2 linked regions of the Xenopus tropicalis genome follow. The protein of the gene in region 1 purifies or fractionates together with the protein of each later gene. This does not show direct contact. Links are inferred from orthologs where the notes say so. Each region holds a gene or a part of one and is shown on either strand. Other genes may lie near its edges. The genes, in order: rcc1l and trub2.

Region 1 (4,390 bases):
TCCTTCAATAACCTCTCGTGCACACTGCCCGTAAGAGTTATTTCCCAAACTGAAAACTGCAAAATAAATGGCAAATTTATACATGCGAAAAGGTTTTACAACCATCTAGAAATCAACTGAACCTCCCAAGCTGTAGCTGTCAGGAAATTCTGAGTGCTGCAGTATAACAATATTTTAAGGCAGAACAATCTGCTTTTAGTGTAGTTAGCTTCTACAGCTTTCTCTCAGTCCTTCTCATTAAGCCTGGCTGTTGTGACTAGGATACAAAGAATCTTTTCTATCCAAGGTTGTTCTAACACTCCTGTTTGGCATTATCAAATAAATCCCAATAGCCAAATAGTAGGAAGCTAAAGCTCACTGTGTATCGAAGCAAAAGTCTACAGAAGAAGCCATATTCTTTGTTGTTTTTACTTTTCAGAACAATTCTAATTGTGACCATATCAGTTCTACTTTAAAAGTACAGATAATGCAATAGTATTGGTTACCTCCTTCTTTGTCTGTCAAAATGAGCGAATGTGCCCGGCCACAAGACACCTGCAACACTTTGGTCTCTTGGGGCTTATCCAATGGTAATGGGATAGGAGATGGCTCCAGAATGTACTCATATCCTTTAGCTTACAAGAGACAAATAATTGCATGTCATTACTTCTACTAATAAAAAAACAAATCATTTTTGGAAAAGAGACTTGTGCTGGTAAGATTAAAATGTTAATGTTGGCAACAATACCCTTTAGAGCAGTGACACACAGGGAGATTAGTCGTGCCGCGACAAATCTCCGTTGTTGCGGGTGACTAATCTCCCTGCAATGCCATCCCACCGGCTAGAATGTAAATCGCTGGTGGAATGGCATACATGGCACCGCAATTCGCTTTGAGAGGTATTTTTGCCAGTAGGATTAGAAAATGACATCCAATGGAATCTGTTAAGCATGCTCAATGCCCAAGGAACAGTGAGGTTCACACAGTGTGGGGAAGAGATAGTATAGTATTACTCACTTCGATCTCTTCTGCTTCTATGAAATCCAATTTGTGAATCCTTATTCAACCCCATTCCCCAAATCTTTGTGATGTTAGCAGTTTTTGAAGATAGTAAAGTGAATCCATAGCCACAAGCCGCTGATGAAATCTACAAATGCATATAAAAATTAATTATTGTTAGAAAAAAAACATTGGTTCTTTGCAACTTTCATATTACAGTATTCGTATATTTTTTTTATATAATACTTTTTATTATTTAGACAACACAACAACTTGCACATTTTAATTTAGCAATCACATCAGAATAGTACAGTAAGGAAGTATGAGAAAGTTTGCTTCACTTGAGTTCAGGGCATATACAAGTCTTTAGCAATTGCTGCCATAGGTAATGTAGTGGTTACAGGTGTTATAAGAGATAGTGGTCTTTAAAAGCAGGAGCTGAATTCGGTCAAGTATCCAGTGATTGGGTTGATTTGGAAGTTATATCACACCAGCAAAACTTTGTTAAATTTAATTTGCGTGAACCCCTGATCTTATATGCAAACTTAAATCGGGGGACCAAGTTAACTATCTGGTTCCAGGCTCATAAAACAACTGGAATAATATTTTAATGGCCTTGATGCAAAAGTGACAACTAAGAAGAAAAATTATTTTATATGGAATTCCTGTTAGACCATCTTCCTCTTTTACTACCTCACCCCGTCAGTACAACCTGTTGAGAGGGAATGTTACCCAGGTAAGAATAAGGGAAGTTGATTTGTGTTTACTTTTAGTAGAGTAATGATTAAGTTAGAGAGTTGCATAAACTGCAAGTAATTTGCAGTTTATAGGATGCTACCCACCCACCGCCATACGGCTACCCCAGCTCAACCCTGCCTGCTGCTTTCATTTATAGAACAGCATCGCCCAACCTTCTTCAGTCTTCATACAAAAGTATGTAAATAAAGGAGGCACAGCAGACAGGGTCTGGAGAATCCCTTTAGGTTTAGTACAATACTTCTCTATGAGGGAATTACTAAATTGGTAATTGGTAATTTTCTGTATTACTACATGTTGGTAATAAAGGGGAAATTGATTGGTAAATTAGAGATGATTGTTATTTTTCTAAGTAGATTATACATAAGCTTCCCCTATACCTCACCTTTTCATCCATATCCAACCTGTAGGGCGTTAGCTGGAATTTTTTTGGTTTCTTTCTTCCGGTCTCAGGGATGACAAAACTGGGGATGCCCAATGCTCCTGTGTGAGAAAATCCCCAAACGAATACCCGCTCCTTCCTTTTTGCTCTCTCGCCCACATACTGAAACACTGGAAGTTCATCTTGTTCTCTGCTCTTGCTAACTTTGGCAGACAAATGTCTCTGAAGGTGACCTTTGCATTTCAGAATACAGTGGCCTCTGAAGAACAATGAAGTCCACATTTGTAGGTGGTTGTCATGAAACCTATGTCCAGGGATACATAACCCATATAATTAACACACTTGAGATTTTACTGCATTTTATTACAAAGAGGTGATCTGATGCCTTATCTGTGTACTTGAAAAGGTTTGTGCATGATCCCACAGCTTTCTGTCTATTAGTGAGCTATAAGTTTCATCATCCTAACAGAGAATGCTGAGCCCAATATTGCAATATACTACTGAAGGGCCCAGAGCACATTGATGTCCCTTTACCCAGATTGCTGGAAGGGTAGTACTTGATTTTAACTTCATACCTATGGACAAGAAGCGTGACTATATCAAACCCCCACTTATCCCTTTGGTGCCCTGTACAAGAACATAATTGGTCAGTTCATCCCTTTCATTATCACACCTGCAAAACTGAAGCGTTGCCGGAATGCATTAATATTACTGCAGTCCTGAATGCGCTTTCTTCTGCACGTGTATTCCCATCAGCAGTCCTACATTCTATAACCCCATCATTATTCACGCCCCCCCCCCCCCGATCCTTGCTCCTCCCACTTCCTCCTGTCTTGGTCATTGCCATTTACCCTCCTTACTGTATTTTTCATTTTTAGCTGTAGCGTAGCCCCGCCCAAAACTTAGCCAATCTTAGTTAGCCAATCTAAGTTAGCCAATCATAGTCTGGTTTACAGTTATTCACAAGAGAGCTCTTCTAAGCTATTCGCTAGTTCCAAAAGAGGAGGAGAAAACATGATAAAGCAGTAGCTTCCGGGAAGGGCCAAGTAAACAAACGAGCTAGCGAGGAGGGAACTGCAGATTCGTAATTCTAAATAGGAGTCGTTTTGTGCTTTAATCATTAAATTTTGGAGCCGTTTATTCTTTGAGAGTGGGGGGTTACTGTGCTATTTTTTTTAATTGGTCACTTTGCCATTCTGTGCAAAGGCTCTGTGTATCAGTCTCTTCAGAGGCTAGCTGTGCCATGTAAGATTGGGGGGAATTGTTCCAGTCCACCTTTCCAAGATATGACCAGTGAAGTGTCGATGGCGTCATTAAGATCGGCGATGGAACAGGAAGTGCAAGACACAAGCGCTGTGTTAGAGAGCTTTCTCTTTAGTGTGTAAAATTCAAGGCGGGGCCTAAACACTGGACTACAATCCCCATAACCCAACGCTTCATCCATAGTGACCGTTTAACTGACAACGCTGAGAAGAGGGAACATATCGCTACCGTATGTATTTTTTCTTTCATGTTGTACTAATTGCATATTGAGATAAGCAGGCTTCTTCCTTTTGTACCTGTTGTGGGGAAGCCCTAAAGTATGTTCTTTGTTGAACTGACAGTTATGCATTTAGTACACAATGTGTGTATAGCAGTGGAAGCCCTGGATACAGGTATAAGCCCACTTTATACATTCTTTTTTTTATACATTTTAGAATGCTGAGAATAAGCATGAAATACTTTTTGAAATATAGTGAATACATTATTTATTGATTTGCAGCTAAATGACACCACTGTAGTCCCACTGTGGCAACATACGTGGCTGATCGAAGCTAAGATAAAGGAACCCAGCTGATATGGCAGTGGCACATTTGGCTTGCGAGAGTCAAGGTAAGTAGCAAGTCTATTCACCAGTGTCAGCAAGAGATTATCAGTCTACCCTCCATAGGGTGCCCATCTTGTCTAGGCTTTTCTATCTCTGCTGGCATTCTACCCTATTAAAGGGCACCTCCACCCAAAACTTGTGCATTGAAAGAAATTCTAAATCTAAGCAGCTTTCCAATATACAATTTTGTTTTTTAATATAATTTATAAATATTCTAATACTACTACTGAATGCAATATCTGTCTGGCTGTTTATATTCTATGAACAATCCAAAAAACAAAGAATACATAGGACTCAGGTGAATGAAGTAGAATTTTTACCCATAATATTAAAGGGTCCGCATGCTCATGCCCTAGATCTTCAGCTTCAGGGAGCCAATAATGGGACATCAAGAAGAACAGGCAGGC
Region 2 (4,572 bases), on another chromosome or scaffold:
ACAGCAGCTATAGCCCCACTATACCCCAGTACCCCCTGACAGCAGCTATAGCCCCATTATACCACCAGTACCCCCTGACAGCAGCTATAGCCCCACTATACCCCCAGTACCCCATGACAGCAGCTATAGCCCCATTATACCACCAGTACCCTGTAACAGCAGCTATAGCCCCACTATACCCCCAGTACCCTGTAACAGCAGCTATAGCCCTACTATACCCCAGTACCCTGTAACAGCAGCTATAGCCCCACTATACCCCCAGTACCCCCTGACAGCAGCTATAGCCCCACTATACCCCCAGTACCCTGTAACAGCAGCTATAGCCCCACTATACCCCCAGAACCCCCTGACAGCAGCTATAGCCCCACTATACCCCCAGTACCCCCTGACAGCAGCTATAGCCCTACTATACCCCCAGTACCCCCTGACAGCAGCTATAGCCCCATTATACCCCCAGTACCCCCGTGACAGCAGCTATAGCCCCACTATACCCCCAGTACCCCGTGACAGCAGCTATAGCCCCACTATACCCCCAGTACCCCCTGACAGCAGCTATAGCCCCACTATACCCCCAGTACCCCCTGACAGCAGCTATAGCCCTACATTTCTGCCACAGGTTATCGGGCAAAGAGAGATTTATGTTATGGCAAACTTTGGGTTCAGCCTCAACCGCACTTGCCGGGAAGCATTTTCTAGAGGCAATAGAGAAATACTGCCCCCTGGTGGCCAGGCTATAGAATGTGGGTGTTTGTATTTGCCAAGCAGTACATTTTGAATAAATCCTCTGTCAGGCTTAGAAGAACCTGGGTTTATATTTCTATTACCTGTAGCAGGAAGTGTTAGTGCACGCTTAAATACATCCCCAACTGGCAGCTAAATGCAGATTTCTGTACATTGGCATCAGTCGGCCACATTCCAACCATGGGGCAAGGGAAGTGCAACTGCATTCAGATAGGTGTCTGTCTGGGACACATTCAGTCCAATGGAATTCAAACACATGGAAAGCTAGGGAGTTGTTCACACTGACTAAATCACCTCGTGAAGCTACTGGTCAAACTAAGCTCAGCTTTAAGCCACACAGAAATCCCAGGTAAGTGTATAATGGGTTAAAAAGGAGCACATTTTTATCCTAAACTCTGCTTGCCGGTTGCTACAGTTTCAGTGACCCTAGCAACCAGGTTGCAAAGGTATTTGGCGCAGGTCAAAAACAAAAATACAATAGAAAGAGTGCCGCACATATATATTATATATATTAGCAACTACCTACATTTGCTATTGATAACTGAATATCCATATATCTATATATCATATGTATATATAATCTCAAAAAAGAAAAAATATATATATATTTGTATATCTATACATAATATATAGGGAGAGAGCCTAGCAGGACAATGACAACAGGAAGCCATAAGAAATGGCAGCTGAGGTATGTTATACACAGGCCCCCAGATAGATCAATGGATAAAAGCCCCCACTATTCCCACCACTAGACCCCTGTTTGCCCACATACATCCTTGTCCAGCAACCTTTCAGCAGACATAAAACAAAATCTCATAAATTGAACAAAAGTTATCTGTAAAATTTACCTGAGACTGCATGGGTGGAGCAATATGGCGCCTAACGCCCCTCAATCTATGAAACCTCCGCCATGTTGGTGCTCCCAAAGGCGGCGGAAACACGTGACGGTGCAGAGGCGGATGTTTATGGCGGCGCCCGTAAGCGGCATGAACTTGTGTTAATGTGACAGGCCGAGCTGAGGCTGCTGGGATTGGGGAATTGAGCGGCAGGTCCGACTGAGCCACTGCTGGTTATCCCTGTCACAGAGCCGCTTGTGTGTGAGTTCCTCTCCGTCACAGGGTTTCCTGGGGGTATTAACCCTTACTGTGTATTAGCCTGCACTTTGTATTTACCCCCAGTACCCCGGAACTATAGCACTGTTACCCCAATGTCTCTATATATCTGTAACCTTGTTATGGGCTAAGGGGGCCCAGCCTGAAGGCCAGTTAGGGGGGGATTTGGGGTGAGTGCTTATTTGTGCCCTGGGTACCTCTGGAACTATAGCGGGGTGACTGTTACCCCAATGTTTCTATATATCTGTAACCTTGTTATGGGCTAAGGGGGCCCAGCCTGAAGGCCAGTTAGGGGGGGATTTGGGGTGAGTGCTTATTTGTGCCCTGGGTACCCCTGGAACTATAGCGGGGTGACTGTTACCCCAATGTTTCTATATATCTGTAACCTTGTTATGGGCTAAGGGGGCCCAGCCTGAAGGCCAGTTAGGGGGGGATTTGGGGTGAGTGCTTATTTGTGCCCTGGGTACCCCTGGAACTATAGCGGGGTGACTGTTACCCCCAATGTTTCTATATATCTGTAACCTTGTTATGGGCTAAGGGGGCCCAGCCTGAAGGCCAGTTAGGGGGGGATTTGGGGTGAGTGCTTATTTGTGCCCTGGGTACCCCTGGAACTATAGCGGGGTGACTGTTACCCCAATGTTTCTATATATCTGTAACCTTGTTATGGGCTAAGGGGGCCCAGCCTGAAGGCCAGTTAGGGGGGGATTTGGGGTGAGTGCTTATTTGTGCCCTGGGTACCCCTGGAACTATAGCGGGGTGACTGTTACCCCAATGTTTCTATATATCTGTAACCTTGTTATGGGCTAAGGGGGCCCAGCCTGAAGGCCAGTTAGGGGGGGATTTGGGGTGAGTGCTTATTTGTGCCCTGGGTACCCCTGGAACTATAGCAGGGTGACTGTTACCCCAATGTTTCTATATATCTGTAACCTTGTTATGGGCTAAGGGGGCCCAGCCTGAAAGCCAGTTAGGGGGGGATTTGGGGTGAGTGCTTATTTGTGCCCTGGGTACCCCTGGAACTATAGCGGGGTGACTGTTACCCCAATGTTTCTATATATCTGTAACCTTGTTATGGGCTAAGGGGGCCCAGCCTGAAGGCCAGTTAGGGGGGGATTTGGGGTGAGTACTTATTTGTGCCCTGGGTACCCCTGGAACTATAGCGGGGTGACTGTTACCCCAATGTTTCTATATATCTGTAACCTTGTTATGGGCTAAGGGGGCCCAGCCTGAAGGCCAGTTAGGGGGGGATTTGGGGTGAGTGCTTGTGCCCTGGGTACCCCTGGAACTATAGCGGGGTGACTGTTACCCCAATGTTTCTATATATCTGTAACCTTGTTATGGGCTAAGGGGGCCCAGCCTGAAGGCCAGTTAGGGGGGGATTTGGGGTGAGTGCTTATTTGTGCCCTGGGTACCCCTGGAACTATAGCAGGGTGACTGTTACCCCAATGTTTCTATATATCTGTAACCTTGTTATGGGCTAAGGGGGCCCAGCCTGAAGGCCAGTTAGGGGGGGATTTGGGGTGAGTACTTATTTGTGCCCTGGGTACCCCTGGAACTATAGCGGGGTGACTGTTACCCCAATGTTTCTATATATCTGTAACCTTGTTATGGGCTAAGGGGGCCCAGCCTGAAGGCCAGTTAGGGGGGGATTTGGGGTGAGTGCTTACAGTTTATAGTATAATAACCACGTTACGGGAATCATCATTGCGCTTTGCAGAACATGAAGTGATTGGGTGGAATCATGGCCCAATTCGCCCCTGGGGTCTTCCGCACGTTACACGGGCTCTTCGCTGTGTATAAACCCCCCGGGGTTCACTGGAAGTCGGTGCGGGATACAGTGGAGACAAATCTGCTGAAAGGTAAGGTGCATTGGTGGTGGGGGGGTTATCTGCACGTTTATTATTATTAATGGGACTGGCCATATTGCACCAGACTAATATAAATTGTTAGATCCCTGTGTTGCTGGGCGGGCAGCGTTGGTCTAATTACAGAAGCCCGGATGGGTCAGTGTAACATTGTTTTTGGGTACACTTTACAGAACTGAATGCGCTAAAGCAGCGAGCCCCCCGACAGCAGATCCGATTCCTGCCGGCGGGTACAGAAGGGAGCAATGGGCTGGAGGTAACCAGAGTCCCCAGCGCTGTCCCAGTCCTGGCTGATCATGTCCTGGGTGAGTACCGATTGGTTCCCAGCGAGTATCTGTATTGGGCCCTTCCTACTTCCTTCTCCCCCTTCCTGCCTACCCTTTGCCCCCACTTCCTACTTCCTTCTCCCCCTTCCTGCCTACCCTTTTCCCCCCCTTCCTACTTCCTTCTCCCCCTTCCTGCCTACCCTTTTCCCCCCCTTCCTACTTCCTTCTCCCCCTTCCTGCCTACCCTTTGCCCCCCCTTCCTACTTCCTTCTCCCCCTTCCTGCCTACCCTTTGCCCCCCCTTCCTACTTCCTTCTCCCCCTTCCTGCCTACCCTTTGCCCCCCCTTCCTACTTCCTTCTCCCCCTTCCTGCCTACCCTTTGCCCCCCCTTCCTACATCCTTCTCCCCCTTCCTGCCTACCCTTTTCCCCCCACTTCCTACATCCTTCTCCCCCTTCCTGCCTACCCTTTGCCCCCCTTCCTACTTCCTTCTCCCCCTTCCTGCCTACCCTTTGCCCCCCCTTCCTACATCCTTCTCCCCCTTCCTGCCTACCCTTTGCCCCCCCTTCCTACATCCTTCTCCCCCTTCCTG

What was found.
Region 2: the proteins of rcc1l (region 1) and trub2 purify together in Homo sapiens (affinity purification with mass spectrometry; 3 studies listed by BioGRID and IntAct, with this or other methods). This does not show direct contact. The link is inferred for Xenopus tropicalis from reciprocal best matches to the Homo sapiens genes RCC1L and TRUB2.

Annotation. Positions count from the first base shown.
Region 1 is NC_030678.2:101,942,195-101,946,584, forward strand, and holds the start of rcc1l (RCC1-like G exchanging factor-like protein), read right to left. Parts: upstream 2,921-4,390; 5' UTR 2,790-2,920; intron 2,421-2,789; 5' UTR 2,399-2,420; coding exon 2,120-2,398; intron 1,127-2,119; coding exon 997-1,126; intron 615-996; coding exon 486-614; intron 57-485; coding exon 1-56. Other genes in the region: cep97 (centrosomal protein of 97 kDa), read left to right, coding at 3,955-3,988. UniProt on the Homo sapiens protein: Guanine nucleotide exchange factor (GEF) for mitochondrial dynamin-related GTPase OPA1. Activates OPA1, by exchanging bound GDP for free GTP, and drives OPA1 and MFN1-dependent mitochondrial fusion. Plays an essential role in mitochondrial ribosome biogenesis.
Region 2 is NC_030684.2:3,160,559-3,165,130, reverse strand, and holds the start of trub2 (mitochondrial mRNA pseudouridine synthase Trub2), read left to right. Parts: upstream 1-1,682; 5' UTR 1,683-1,838; intron 1,839-3,545; 5' UTR 3,546-3,591; coding exon 3,592-3,709; intron 3,710-3,888; coding exon 3,889-4,020; intron 4,021-4,572. UniProt on the Homo sapiens protein: Minor enzyme contributing to the isomerization of uridine to pseudouridine (pseudouridylation) of specific mitochondrial mRNAs (mt-mRNAs) such as COXI and COXIII mt-mRNAs.